2 linked regions of the Lepisosteus oculatus genome follow. The protein of the gene in region 2 interacts with the protein of the main gene of each other region in a pairwise test. Links are inferred from orthologs where the notes say so. Each region holds a gene or a part of one and is shown on either strand. Other genes may lie near its edges.

Evidence for each region.
Region 1: the proteins of cytoplasmic protein NCK2 (region 2) and bcl11aa interact in binary tests that used the Homo sapiens proteins (3 or more experiments, as listed by UniProt). The two-hybrid records come from large-scale screens. The link is inferred for Lepisosteus oculatus from reciprocal best matches to the Homo sapiens genes NCK2 and BCL11A.

What each region holds. Positions count from the first base shown.
Region 1 is NC_090712.1:9,969,390-9,976,874, forward strand, and holds the start of bcl11aa (BCL11 transcription factor A a), read left to right. Parts: upstream 1-4,436; 5' UTR 4,437-4,733; coding exon 4,734-4,788; intron 4,789-5,263; exon of another isoform or gene 5,264-5,393; intron 5,394-5,424; exon of another isoform or gene 5,425-5,658; intron 5,659-6,114; exon of another isoform or gene 6,115-6,550; intron 6,551-7,485. UniProt on the Homo sapiens protein: Transcription factor. Associated with the BAF SWI/SNF chromatin remodeling complex. Binds to the 5'-TGACCA-3' sequence motif in regulatory regions of target genes, including a distal promoter of the HBG1 hemoglobin subunit gamma-1 gene.
Region 2 is NC_090710.1:24,271,592-24,279,364, reverse strand, and holds the start of cytoplasmic protein NCK2, read right to left. Parts: upstream 3,087-7,773; 5' UTR 2,912-3,086; intron 1-2,911. UniProt on the Homo sapiens protein: Adapter protein which associates with tyrosine-phosphorylated growth factor receptors or their cellular substrates. Maintains low levels of EIF2S1 phosphorylation by promoting its dephosphorylation by PP1.

The DNA of each region.
Region 1 (7,485 bases), on a different chromosome or scaffold from region 2:
AGGAAGAAGGAGTAGGAGGGGGGGGGAGAACGGAAAAAAAACCAGGCTTCCACCAGATGGAGCGGGGTCTTGGCAAAGGTCAAGGTTAGCACAGACTACTATTGAATCGGCTGCAGTTTCGCAGATAGAGGCACCCATCGGGGCTTCTCACAATCAAATCTAATACAAAAGCCGGTCGCAGAACGAAATCGCTTCATCTGAATGCTAAAATTGTTATTAGGGTACATTAGGAGGAAGCCACGCACGTGATTGGAAAAATCCTTGCAATTTGTGATTGAAATAGAACCTATTAGTTGTTGATTGGATAGCAACAAAGTTAAGTGCTCTTTTATGGCCCTGATTAAGAAACGGAATTTGAGCCACAGGACCGTATTATCGTTCATAATAGTTTTTTTTAATTTTTCAGCTTTAACATCATATGGTTGCCATTGGGTATTAATTCTTGTAGGCTAATCCTTCCCTTAAAGTAGACAAATTATGAGTCAATTCCAATACCTTAAGCTCCTCTGTCGTTTAAAACGGCGTTAAAAGGTAAACGCCTTAAATTAACGATGGCACAGTGTTTTATTAATCTTAGAGAATCGTTATATGATTATATAATAAATCAAGTAAACACAGGATTGTGTAATGCATAATGAATCAGGACAACACGTTTTTGAAACAACAAATGGATTGATTGCCTCAGGTACATTATCGTATGTATAATATCAAACTATTACATGTAGTGTTAAAATGCATCAGGCTGGGCAAGCTGGTGTCACCTCACAGATGCAGGTAAGATTAAACAGACCACTTCAGTAAGTTGCTTGGTAGATGTCAACCTTAATTTCTTGATGCATATATATATGGAAAATAATCTAATGCTTGTTCTATTTTTACCCCTATATGTAACTCTTAGGTGTCTGTACACCTTCAATAAAAACAGTACATTGCACATAAAAACAACACACACACACAATTTACATAATCAACTTGACAGAGTCTAGTTCATTGTTTGGAGGAATGTGCAATGACACCTGAAATGCATTGATTATGTTTATTGTCAACTTCATAAATTAATACAATTCTTGATCTTTAACCATTTCCCATTTCATTCCTTTAAAGTAGGGACACCCCTTTGAGCTTGTCAACACAAACACTTTCTGAAAGTTGCATTGTTCTTTACAAAATCAGCAATAAAGCTGTAATCTGTCGCAATATAATCTCACTGCCTATTAAAAAGCAAAAGCACCTTTTCACATCAAATCACCCGGGCAATTGTTTCCGTTTGGGAAATTACAGAACTACAGGCAACAAATGTCTGACAATTTTATGGAAACCAGATTGACCCTTGGAGTCCCTAACTAGCAATCTGTCCAATTCCTAAATACTAGAAGTTAAAAGCGTGACAAAAATCAAGAGTAGTCAAAAGCTTAAATTTAGAGGATGGGGGGTGGGACTCATACGGTATATGCTACTGAAGTTAAAGTGAAAAAGAAATGCCACTTTTAGAAAAATATTACCAGACTGCATCCGGGTATCTTCTTCACTGTCACAACAGACTTGTGCACAAATGTCATGACAAAACACAAAGGCAATACTTCAGTAATTGAATCCGTGACGGGTATAAGACAAATCCTATACCAGAACAATTAATTTGTATAAATCTGAAGAGTTGTCTGGTCTCTGTGGAATATAACTCAGTTGTCATTTCAGACTGTTTTGCAGTTAAGAACCCCAAAAAAACCCATTAGGTGTTCAAAGAGCTTAAAGAGAATATATCTGGTGTTTGCATGGCATTTAGCTTTTCTGTAACCTCTAGATGAAAGTTGTTTCACGAAGAAAGGCACTGCATTTTAAATTAAATTATGTTACTAAACACCCCATCAAATCCAGTTTGTCTATATGAAATACCTAACATGAAATGTATGTGGGCCCTCTTTTTATGAACACAAAGGGTTAAAGGGAGATGCATTACCAGCATACCAAACGTTTACGTACAATTTTATTTAAGGACTCTATGAGAGATAAGTTTATTAGATATTCATTATTCATACCAGTAATGCCCTTTAAGTGTTGCAGCATATATTTTACTCAATATTCATCACACACTCACATAAAGAATACATAAAATCAGAAATATATCGATTAGCTATAGACTTTTACTGAGATGTATTATATATTAGAAAGACGTTGCACTCTCGTTAACATTGCGCCCATGCAATAAATCAACATAACACGACCGTTTTCTGCAAAAAATGATCAACACCCACTTTAAATTGCTACTAAGTTTCTTAAGTGTTTCTTATATAAAGTATGACTAAACGCAAGAGCTGTGTGGTCAAGTATGTCATATCTACTTATATATTATAATAAAGGATTATTATTAATTATGCTTCAGCCCATGTTTAACGCACATTACCAAGTTAAACGTTAAATACACTAAAACATTGAATCACATTTAATTAACAAATAGTGGGTATATACTGTATATATAAAACAGGTTAGTATAAGCACGATCGTTTGGTCAGATAGAACTGCCTTACAAACCCTCTGCAACATTTCAAAGAAAGAATATTGCATTTTTGCAGAAAAGTAACCTTAACTCAAGTGTACGTATTAAATTAAGTTAAGCACTCATATTTACAGTATGTTTAGGGACCTCCGATAAGCGTAAGATATTAACACTTTAGCCTAGACAGCAGGACTCAACTAGCATATACTGTTTATACATAAAAACTAGTCAGTGTCCCATTTACTTTAATTTAAAAATAAAGAATAATTTCATACCACATCGAAATGAGTTCTTGGCAGCTGCAAGACATTACATGCTTGATTTAAGGGGACACAGAACCCCTTTTAGAAAGAATAGCCTGCACCGATATTTAAGTAGGTCGTTTTCTCTGAAACTGTTCTAAAAGCTGTTCTTAAAACCCTCTAGATTAGGCTTTCTCATTTCTGAGATTTCGTATCGTATGTTTCGTACATGTTTATTAATATCAGCCTGCTTTGTAGCCCGTATTTTGCAAGAAGGCTCATATTCAGGTAGCTTTTCCTGACACCGAGACGTTAATACTCCCTTTGAAACCGCCAGTACGAACCAGGTCTACGCGCAATCTTACTCTTTACTCAGTAGACTACGTTCTCATTTTTAATATTCGTAGACGGCATTTACAACTTTCCCCGTCGTATCCCCATAACACATATTTATATACTCTCCTATCTTCATAATCTCCAAACTTTAGCTTTCCATATTCATAAATCTTCAAAAAGAAACCCAGGACTTGTTTGACAAATACCGGTAAATAAACTAACCTTGACCGGCAAATATTTTCCCCCACTGCTGAGATTTTTCTCCGATGCTCAACTTCCTCTCCGATCCTTTCTTTCTCTATTTTCCCATTCATTTTTACCCCATCCCCTTTGTATCCTGTCTCAGAATCCGCGTCTAGCTCACGTTTTCATTCCACTTCGCTCTTGTGATTCACTTGTGCAGCCGCTAGTCTTAGTACTTTTTATTAGTTTGCATGGCTATTTCTCCTACCCACTTCATACACAGTTCATGTCATCGCTTTTGTTTTCTGCCTGGTGTCTCTTCTAGTATAAGCTGTCATTATTTAGTCTCCGCTCTTTGGGAGGCGTTTTGTTCTTTTCCTAAATCGATTTCCGCGAGTGTCTGTGTTTTTCTCTCCCCCTTTTCGTCTCCCAGCCCTTTGTTGGAACATACTCATCGACCCACCGCAGATCTTTTTGGACATTTGCATCCTCTCCCAATTTTCGTTCACAGCCCACCTTTACCTGCTTTAACCCCTATTGCATCACATGTTTATTTCAAACTTAGTTCGTTCACTCCCCCACCGTCGCCGTGTGTCAGACTTTACACTTCGGTTTAAAAAAAAAAAAGAAGCCGCTTAATTTCTTAACCCTCTTTTGATCTTTGCTGTTTTTTTTTCTACTCCTAGTCCTCCTTTACTTTTACCCTGCTGCGAAACCTGTCTGTCCCATACAGACAACCTGCTAATAATATCTTAAGTTCTGTTTCGTTTCTTAGCTCAGTGGTCGCTGTGCTCCTTGGCTACTGACACACACGAGGTGGTCTAGCTGTGTGACCACGAACTTATTTTTCACTGTGTTTCCGTGCCCAGATCCCTGATCAATGTCCACTGCGACAGCTTACATTAGACGGGGTTTTTTTTTTCCCTTCACTGCCATATGTCCAGCCCCCTGATCCCTTGTCCATTGGCTTTTCTTGGTCTATTTTTTTCACGTCCAGCCCCCTGATCAATGCCCACTGCTTTCACTAGACAGCTTTTTTTTTCCCTCTTGTGCCTCTTGTCCGGCCCCCTTGATCTCTCTGTCCATTGGCTTCTCCGGGTCTATTTTTCATGTCCAGCCCCTAATGAGTGTCCATTGGTTTTGTTATTTCCATTCCCTCCTCCTACTCTCTGTCTTTGCCCTGCCCATGTTTTGTATGTCTGTGTCCATCCATCTCCTGACGTTCAAGTTCGCAGGGACGTCACGTCCGCACTTGAACTTGCAGCTCAGGGGGGCTTTTGCCATTTTTTTTCATCTCTCTCTCTCTTTTCAAAAAAGCCATGACGGCTATCCCACAATCCATCTTCCCTGCGCCATCTTTGTATTATTTCTAATTTATTTTGGATGTCAAAGGCATTGATGAAGATATTTTCTCTGGAGTCTCCTTTCTAACCCGGCTCTCCCGATGTGAACCGAGCTCAAAGCCACCACCAAGCACCATGTCTCGCCGTAAGCAAGGCAAACCCCAGCACTTAAGCAAACGGGAATTTTCGCGTAAGTAGAACAAAATTGTAATTTACACCCTTTTCTTCACTTTTTCCAGCAACAGTCTTTAATTTCCTGCAGTAAAGAAGAGAAACAGTGACCAGGAGCAAAAATCTTGGTGAAGGTGGTGCTGGACATTGGACACCGAAGATCGCGGTCAAGTGGACTTCACAAAAAAAAGCGTGGCGAGATTTCTTTTGCACCCAGAAATGCCAATACGAAATGCGGTTTTCTTAAAACTTAAGCAGAAAAAAAGTTTTTATTTTTTTGCATTCAGCTTTTTGAATCCGGAGCACTTTTACAATAAGATTTTCTAGCGTGCTTAAGATATGCCTTTCGTACCCCTTGTGCTTAAGCCGCTAAAGGGCATAGGGTAGGAAGGCGATTGTAATAGGTATGCATGCTTTATCATATTTATTATTTCTAGTGGAAGCCCCTGTAACACTGTCTGTTTACTGCCTGGAGAGGATTTCCCTCCTCTCGTACTATTTTTTGGAAGATTTTCAAAAAAGTGGAAGTGGATTTTGATTGGGAAAAATCTCGTGTCTGACTGTTTACAAGCACCGCGTGTGCGGAACCTCCTGCCAACAACATCGAAAGGGGAAAAAAAAAGAGTAATATTCGCTTAATTTTCTTTCGAAAGCTGCGTAGACCGCTGTCAAACGGATGGATTTGTAATCTAAAAGCTTTATGTGCACTACTTGAGAAAGATTGCTCTTAGATTCGACTCTAGTTGTTTTAGGGGACGGCTTTATAAAGAGGAACAGGAACCCCGGCTTACTCTTCTTTTCGATTAAATATTTTCCCCCTTTTTACACATAGATTTTTGGATCGACTGTTATGTTTATTTTACTTTAACGTAAAAGGGAAACTCGCAAGGTAAGGTAAAATAAAATGTATGCATGCGAGTCAGAACAGTTGAGTTGCCTCTTTCTGTTTTCGTTTCTGCTTTTCATAGATGCAAAAAGTAATCATTTTGCAGACTTGCGCGGCGTATATAGCACATTATCGTCTGGGCTCTGCATGTGTTCAGGGATATTTAAGTTCGCCACGTTTGTTTTTGCGTGTGGATACGTTTTTTAAAGCTTTATTGGAAACGAAGGCGACACACTGTTTAAAACCGTCCAACATTTGGCAAACGCAGTAAGCAAGCGTATTTGGGACCCCGAGAGATCGGAATTCGCGATTGAATGAATGAAATGTTATGTTTTACATCTTTATTCACAAAGATCTGTAAACCTTGCGTTTTAACGACTCGAATCTTGCGAGAACGATTCCGTAATGTTCCTTGTTCAAGACACATTAGTGTTAAAGCGAGCCGTTTGTCTAAGTTGCATTGAAGTATTGCTTTGTGTGACGGTTCTGTCGCTAGGAGGCAGAAGATGATCATAAACTGGAAATGAACTTGAACCTGATCAATTTCACCGCCACCTCAATCTACATATCCTGACGATATGTTTGGAATAAAAAGGAAATACATAATACGCAGGTTATAGCTTCTTTTTTCCCACCCACTTTATATCTTATTTTAAGTAAATTAAACTCGTATAAATGACGAGACACCGTCGATCATTCAAATGATTTCTAATTTACTGGATATCTTTTTTTTTTTTACTTTTGGTACCCTTTCACAATCATGAAAATGAAAAGGAGCTTTAATTTAGTAATTGAAAGCCACGCGTATTTTCAACATTTTCTGTAACGCATCAACTTATAAATAATAAGCTTTAGTATGCACAGAGGTTTCAGGCATTAAGACTCTCCATTTAAGGTTAGTATTTTATGATTTATTATTGTTGTCCACCTCGTTCATTACATACCTTAGCTCGTAAGCATTTTTCTGTACTTTGAGTTTAATACGTGTATGAAACTTACGTATTTTTTACACTTATTATATAGAATAATATACTATTATATTGAGAGTATTCTAATTTTCGTTTGAAGACAGGAAATCAAAATGGAAAAACTATAAAATGTCCTTGTGTGGCGTGTTTCCTTTAGATCCACGTGTTTCAGTATTAAATCATCAGGAAAGTCGTATTACCTCCTCTCTTAAGATATTCAGGGGAGCTAAGGCTAAGAAATTTATGTGGAATTTAGGTGGAATTTATTATACAGTTGTATAGTTTTTAATTAAAAAAAATTTCAGGCATGCAAACTAACAATGAAATGTTCAAAAGGTAATTTTAAATGAAGCCCTTTTAATTGTGTGCAGGTTTTGTGTCTTTCCTATATTTCTAGCAACGAAGATCCAGTTCCTCACAGCAAGCTACTTTGTTGAAAGTATTCTGAATCAAAGCAACATTTTCGCTTGTTACGTTAGAAGTAATCGCAAGACGTTTTCAAAAACACGTGAAATCAGTGAACTGTAAAAATGTATGCTCAATATTAGTAAAATATGGAGCAAAAACACAATGTTGCTATCCAGTTTTCCTGGATTTCATTATTTCTGCCACTTTTAATAAATATTTTAAGTATACATTAAATTGTTTGACAAAGGCTACTGAGTGTATTCTTGGAGACAGTTGTTTTTAAAAGAAAATACAATGATAAAACAGTTTTGTCCTGTTAGAGAGATTGTTTTTATATACATGGTGGGCAGGCAAAAAACTTTCAAAAAATGTTTCCCCCGAGTAATGTAAACATAAGAAAGTGGCAGAATTTTTCAGAGTAGCTGTATTTGAGGGCGGTGGCAATGAGCGTGTT
Region 2 (7,773 bases):
CTCCTCATTATCTTTGCTTAAAGATAAGATTCTTGAAGTCGCTGTTCAATTCTTTTGCATCTAAAAGGGAAGGTTAAGGTGGCAGATACACTTAAGTTATCACATTCAGAACATAAGTTGCTCAAGGAATGTGGAGTCTAGAAATCTCTGAAACACAGAATACATAACTAATAATTCTGCCAGTTTGCAACTAAAGATTTATACATTCATTCCCAAGTGGAATACAGGGTGCACAGCAAAGATATTAGGAATGTTTACAGTCATCGACTGGTTAAAGCACAAGCATACTGCTAAACTCTGAAAACACTAGTTCATTGCATAGCCCTCTACACTGTACAAGAACCAGACTCAAGTACTTTAACAGCACTCTGTGGCTATTTCCAGTCATAAAAAAATCAAATAAAGCTGATCACTGCAGTATGAAATCACCATGGCTTACAGTTTAAGAGATGTTTGTCCAAAGCTATTGTTTTATTTATTTTCAAAAATAAAGTAAATGAATTAAAAAACAGACCTTTATAAATTACACAGGGTGGAGTGGGATGCACAAGACGTGGCATGCTCTGAAGGGAAAAGGCATCAAAAGACAGCAGTGTCCAATTATGCACTGGTAACAAAGCAACATTGAAAGGCCATTCAAATGTTAGCCACAACCAAAACATACAAGAATGTAAAGCTGTGTGGATCACTCCTAAGAAGGGGTCAAACACTACTCTTCCTAACCTGTTTGCTGTAAATATACTGAAGGCCAAAGTCTTGAGTCGAAAGAATCCACTACTCTTCAGGACAGAAAACAACTGAGGGAATAATTATGAGGAAAGGCTGCCTATTCACAAGGAAGATAGGGGGGGGAAAAACAAAGACCTTCATCTACAGCAGAAAGAAAAACTGTCAAGACTATTGTACCCATTGTCCATGTGCCTACAATTCCAAGCCCAAGCACTGACAATGGCACTTGACTATGTCAATACGTATAAGGAATCACAGAGGTGTTGCTATCCTGTGTGCATTCTGTAAGCCCATTTATTGTTACACTTAAAGAATTGCCTACCATCACCATGTATGACAGCTTTATGAATGAAAAACGAGACATGACAACATGAAATGTACCTTATGACTTCTTCATGCTATAGCTAGCACATCTTGAGAGATCTTACCTGTTCCACTTACTTGGCCCTTGTGTCTGATATCACACTTAAGTTTGGCTTTACTAGCATAGCTGTTTTTGTCATTGAATTTTTTTGTTGATAGAAAGCGATCATCACGGAAGAGAGTATAACAGAATTGTAATAGTTTCCCTGCATGTCTGCAAATGTCTAACGAGGCAAAACAAATGTTGAAATGGGCAAAGAAAAGTTTGTAGGTGATACCAATTAATCAAGATGTGCCTGAACAGGCTAAAGAATACAAAAACAAATTAGTTCAGAAAGTCTGGTATCTATTATTACAAAACTAAAAGAGATAAGCGAGTGCTTTCATTTCTGACACTATTAATACATCAATGTCAGCATTTCATATTTTCCCAAATGACTTATTTGAATGTTGAAAAGAAAGCCCTACTATTTTTACCTATAGTGGTTTATCAAGTTTCATTCTACAGTATGTGCCTATGAAGACTCATCCAAGTAATGTTATAAGCAGAGAATACAAGGTGACTTCATTTCTATGGGGCTGTTACCTTAAAGAACCTAAAGAGCAATTTTCCATCTACATGTAAAACTGAAGATGAGAATTAGACATAGCAACTCAGTTTTTGAAAAGAGCCTACAATTTTAATTTTAATGCTCAAAAAAGAAAAAGCCATTATTATTCAGCCTTTCTCTGACAGAATACCATATCAATTTAAACTAAAACAGCAATAAAATCTTCACAAGATTAAAATTAGTAGCTCATATAGATATTGGTGTGACATACAATACTTTAGGCTATATAAGAGTGTTGTTAGTATTATAAATATGGAATAGAGTGTCATACCTGTACTTAAATCAGGGTGTGTTTTAATATTTATCTAATTCAGCAAGGATAGGGCTGATATCAATAACAAAAAAGACACTAAAGTTTTTTTCTCTTCCAAAATGTACCCATACCAATATGTTTATTAAACATTTCTGGCAGAGCTATGCTTTGACAATAAATTCATCACTATTAACCGTTTTCGATTCTACATTAATGACTATGCACACCCCATTACCATTACTGTGGATAACGTGTGGTTGTTGTGGCTGTCAGCAGTCACTGAGCAAAAAAATGATATCGATAAAAAATTGCGATTTGGGCATGATGCTTATTATGGGACAAAGAACTTAATGTCGTTTCTATTTTTCCTGTGGAAGTTGGAAGACTATACAGCAAACAGCAACGTCAATGCACACTGAAGCGATACCGTGAAGACAATGGACACATGCAAGATATCTAAACCACTACAAGACGCAATAACACGTTTAAAGTTACAGCCCCCTTATCGTCAAACCGGCAGCTATCTGCCATGAATTATTCGTGCGTTTTTCCACAGAGAGAACGCTGGCAGGCAAGAGCCCCTCGAAGGCGGAATCTTTACAAGCGGCTCCGAAACGCCATCATCACCATCCTATTGAATCCCGTCTATTGTACTGCTGTAGAGTCTCAGCCACAAATAACAAAGCCACTGAGCTTAACGCGGAGCTCAACACTAAAACCATCTAAAAGCACAAGCACCTAATGATGGGAATTTTACTTCAGAGGTCTTCCAGACCCCTTTGCCCAGGGAATGTATTTGCTTTTATTAAAACACGGCTTGATATCCATCTGCTCAGGACGATTTGTGAATGAACCGAAAACACACCAACGCCAATTACAGTACCCCCCCACCACCACCTCCAGAAGCTGCCACACCAACTTTATACTCAGTTCCTTAATTTTCTTTCCCTCTTACCTTGGTGTAGCTCCGGTCGGATCGGGCGGGGAGGCAGGTATGCAAATAACCCCTGTGCAGTTCAGAACGTTTATATAAAATACTTGACAGAGGGGAAGAAAAATCCAGTTTTATTCCAGGTCCTTTCTTTACAGGCCCTGCAACTCCACTCTCGTTCTCTCTCTCTCCCCCTACCTTTAGCTCAGCCCACTGTCTTGCTCAATGACGTCAGCCCTGCCATAGGACTGAGAAAGCTGGAGCACCGAAGCAACTGCGCTGGGAAGCCGCTCTGGACAGAGACGGGCTGTCTCTCTTACATCGCCAGTGCTCGCTGCTGCCAATTGCTGTGTTAACTACATTATATGTCCGGACGAGTACGCAGACTTTAGTGTCAGCTTAGCTAGCACTTCTTAAGAATAGATGGGCACACGGCAGGAACGATCATATTAATTAAATGAAAAACTAAAAAGAGGACACCAACTGAGACATACAATTCGTTGAGTAAACTAGCTGGCTTTATGCTGAAACTGAAATGCTCTTTTAAGGCTTTTAAGACGAAACATTGAAAATAATGATACAGCAAATATTGCGCATTCAAATACCGTCACTCACGGTATTTACCATACGTTATGTATTTTTTCAAGAGAAAGTGTTTTGAAATGTTTGAAATACAGTGATGAAAATTGTCAAGCGGAAATAAAACCTCGGATACCTCTTATGCATAGATCAAATGGCTATAGTTGTTCCCCGTTTCCTTACAGGAACAAGACATTTCCTGATTATTAACTTGATTGCCTCTATTTTTAAAGGGTATGGGGGGCAGAAGCAGTGAGGCGCATACATGCTAATATAAAGTAATTTCCTACTAGACCCCTGGAAGTATGCAAAAATGTATATTAAATAATACTATATTGCAATTATATTAAATTATGTATATTTTAAGCAGAATTTGCATATATAATATTTTTAAATTATCTATTTGAAAATTATATAATAGAATAAAATACCTCTTTTCTAGATCCTGTTCTCTTTTAATCATTGTATAAAGTGCTTTCTGCACAGACTACAGCTTTCCTTTCTTGCTTTTGACTTTCTTTTGGGATGAATCTGCTCCGTATTTGTAACTTTGTGTTGCCATCCACTCTACTGAATCTATGTCATTTGTATCTACAGCAAAAACATTTCTTTAAATTTCAGGTTGACTCTTTCCTTTATGTTCAGTTTTTCCGAAATTGCCAATCTTTCTTTTGGGCTTAGCAGAATTTCTAAATATACTTCAAAACGTACATATTATGATCACATTTCTGTGATGGTTTTCCTCACTCTGTTTCGATTGTTTGAAAACACTAGATCAATACAGGCATCACCTTGGGCTTCTGATAATCTGAGTATGGAATCATTCATTACCCATTTCTACCATTGCAGTTTCAGCTACTGACCTACCTGGTGGTTTGTCCAAATCTACACGGGGAAAGTTAATATCTCCCACAATAACAACTTCTTTTAAACATATTTTCCTGAATTAACTGCAAAAGACTGAATAGTTGTACATTCATATAAGTTGTATATGAATTTGGCAGTCAGGAGCATGTTCCTACCCACTCATGTTATATTCTTCATTACCACTCAGTCCGCTGTGCTGATTTTGAGCATCTTGAATACTTGTAGAAGTTCCCTCATATTCTTCTCTGTTTAAAACTAAAAATGTATTTCAATCTGTCAGTGTAGGATATTGCTTATTCCTTTATGTCCTGGAATGCACCTCTATTGCTCTTCTCTTGAATGATTCCAGATTGTGACCACAATTGTACATAACATTGTACAAAAAAGACCACAGTAGTGCATTGTACAATTTTAATGTGACATCCCTTGACTTGAATTCTGTACTTTTGACTATACAATCTAAAATTTTGTTTGCCTTTTTATTATTTACCAGCACTTTCTGGAAGATGTAAACAATGTGTTGACAAAAACACCAAAGTCCTCTTCATAAGTAGCTTCGTCTAGCTCATTGGGTCCTATTGTTTTTACTTTTATACTAACTGCATGCAAAACCCTGCACTTCTGTACAGTAGATTAAATGCAATCTGCCAAGTGTTTTCCCAGTTTTGAATTAAAGCAAATTCTTTGGGAATTCCATTTGCTGATTCTACAGTGTTATTCTACTATGTACATTCTACAGTGTTAGCTAATCATTCTAATCTGATATTATCTGAAAGATAGTTTACGAATTATACCATAATCATTAATATAAATTAAGAATAGCTGTGGTCCTGGTAAATACTGTGGTACTCCACTAATTACATCGCCCCAATTTAATCATTTAGTTTTAATCATGTTTATTTGCTAATTATTAATCAGTTCTCAATCCAGTTGCATACATTTCCTTGCAGGACTTCAGCCTGTAATTTCAAATTAAATCTGTGATAAGTAACTTTATAGACAGCTTTCTGAAAATGTAAATACACCATATCTTATGCCCTGTATCTGTCAAAATTTCACTTAAAGGTCAATTGGTCAGTCATAGATAAACATATAGATATATAGGGAACATGTGCGTTCCTCTTAATTTTAATGGATCATTCTCTATGTCAGGCTGACAAAAAACAGGATTGCAGTTACAGCCGCCCAGCCACTATAGGCTGCTGGGCAGCCTCTAATCTTTGTAAATAGCTACACAGTGGGTGTTAATTAGGTAATTGATTAGATTTGTGTTAAAGATATTATGGTAAAGGTATTATAAAGGTAAATGTTATTATTTTAGTGGTAAAATAATATAAGAACATTTGTTTATGGCATGTTTATACTGTATATGAGTTTTATTAACCCTTTATTATATTGGATATTGCACTTGCCTGGAATGATTCAGCAGCAGTACTGTATATTTTTGTGACATTGTGACCACAATTGTATATCATATTCTAAATTAGGCCATAGTAATGTATTGTACAATTTTAACATGTCATCCCTTGATGTATAATATACACTGATTACGCATTGTATTTTTCACACCCTTTGTGGTTCTTTATTAAGTATGAAACTTATGGTCAGCTGAGCTGCTATGTCTTAATGTCACAACTTTACACAATTGAGGATACTCATTTATATATAAAAAATAGGTTATTAATAGTTATGTTTTCTATATGCTGAACTGCATTAACAATATTTGGGGTTTCACTGATCTTAAGATGAAAATGTTTTTTTTTCTATTCAAATTGATATTTTTAATTTTGTCTGCTTTTTAGTTTGAAACCATATTATATTGTATACAAATAAGGTTTCTCTGTAACTTTCTAATAAAAACATTCATGGTCAAATAAAAAAGCTCAAAAGCAATTGTGGAAGCTAGCAAGCTAATCACCAGCACTACTACCAGGTCAGCCATTGCAAAAGTTCCATCACTCACTGCAAGTGAAAATCATAAACTATAAAATCAGAAGGTAATTGTCTTTAGTATCCTTAAAAATGTTTAGTTACTTATGTAATTAATATATTAAATTGCCCCAGTAACAACAGATAGAGACCATTAAAATTGTCTTATTTCAAAACCTTAATTAATTGGTTCTCATTAAAATCAGTGAGCTCCCTCATATACTGCAGATTTAAAATGTTGTAGTAGAGTTGCAGTAGCATAGTGGAGCAGTGGTTAGCATTGCTGCCTCACATTGCTGGAGCCCTGGATTCAATTCCAGACCTGGTGTGCAGAGTTTGCATGTTCTCCCCATGTTTGCATGGGTTTCCTCTGGACCTCCAGTTTCCTTCCACAGTCCAAAAACATACCAATAGGTTAATTGACTTCTCTGAATATAAAACGTGGTGTGAGTGTGTATGTGTGTCCATGTTTGTGTTTGTGTCTCACAAAGAATGTCCATGGTACACCCCGCCTTGTACAGTTGGTTGTCAGGACAGGTTTCTGCTCCCCTGTGACCCTGAATGGGATTAAGTCATTAGAAAATGGATGGATTGTAGAATCCTGCAGTGTTAGCAGGATTGTCTATGCTAACACTGGGAGCACAGTAAAACTACAAAAACTGCAAAGAAATACTTGAAGAGCCTGCTGCATGCACGCATTACCTTTATAAACAAAGTTTGCATTCTCATTGCTGAAGAATAGGACCTGAATTGTATGATTCACTTGACAGATTGTTAAAAAAAACTCAAGGTCAAAATCCTGTACCTGAATCATCATTCTTTATTATTAGTATAGATTAGCATAATCCAGAATTGCATGGACTGTAATCATTGTTTATCAGCCTCATTAAATAAATAGGATTTTATTTTTTAAATTATTACACTTTGCAGGTACGGGATACAGTTATAGGATGCTTACAAGTTTTATGTTATGAACAGAACGCTCAAGTGGAAGTACTTTGTGTCTCATCAGACCACTTGCTCCATTAAAAGCTGTCAGATTCAGTGTTATTTGCCACTGTTGCTGTCATGGTTTGCTCATTTTAAACAAAACGTTCCTTCCCAAACAAATAACATGAAGGTTTTTTCTTCTTCAGGCTCCCCCTGCTGTTCATACTTACAAGAACATATTACTGAGAAGCAAAACACACTCCCAGTTTCGTTATTGGTAAAAACTACCATCAGTGAGTCTTCCTTACATCACTTTTTAACCACTTTATCCAGTACAGGGAGCCTGTCAGAACATATCCAGGTAAGCAACAGGTACACGGCGGGAATCTGTGGCCTGAATCTCAATCACTTTCCTTTATTTTTCTTTTATACATTCTTTTAAAAAATATTCTTGTCTGAAATGTCTTTGACAGGTGCTGAATTAAATTTTACTTAAGGCCATAGAAATCAACTTTAATACAAAGGTAAGATCCCACCCCAATCAGATTGGCTCCATATGCAGGTATAGATGAGACAAAGCT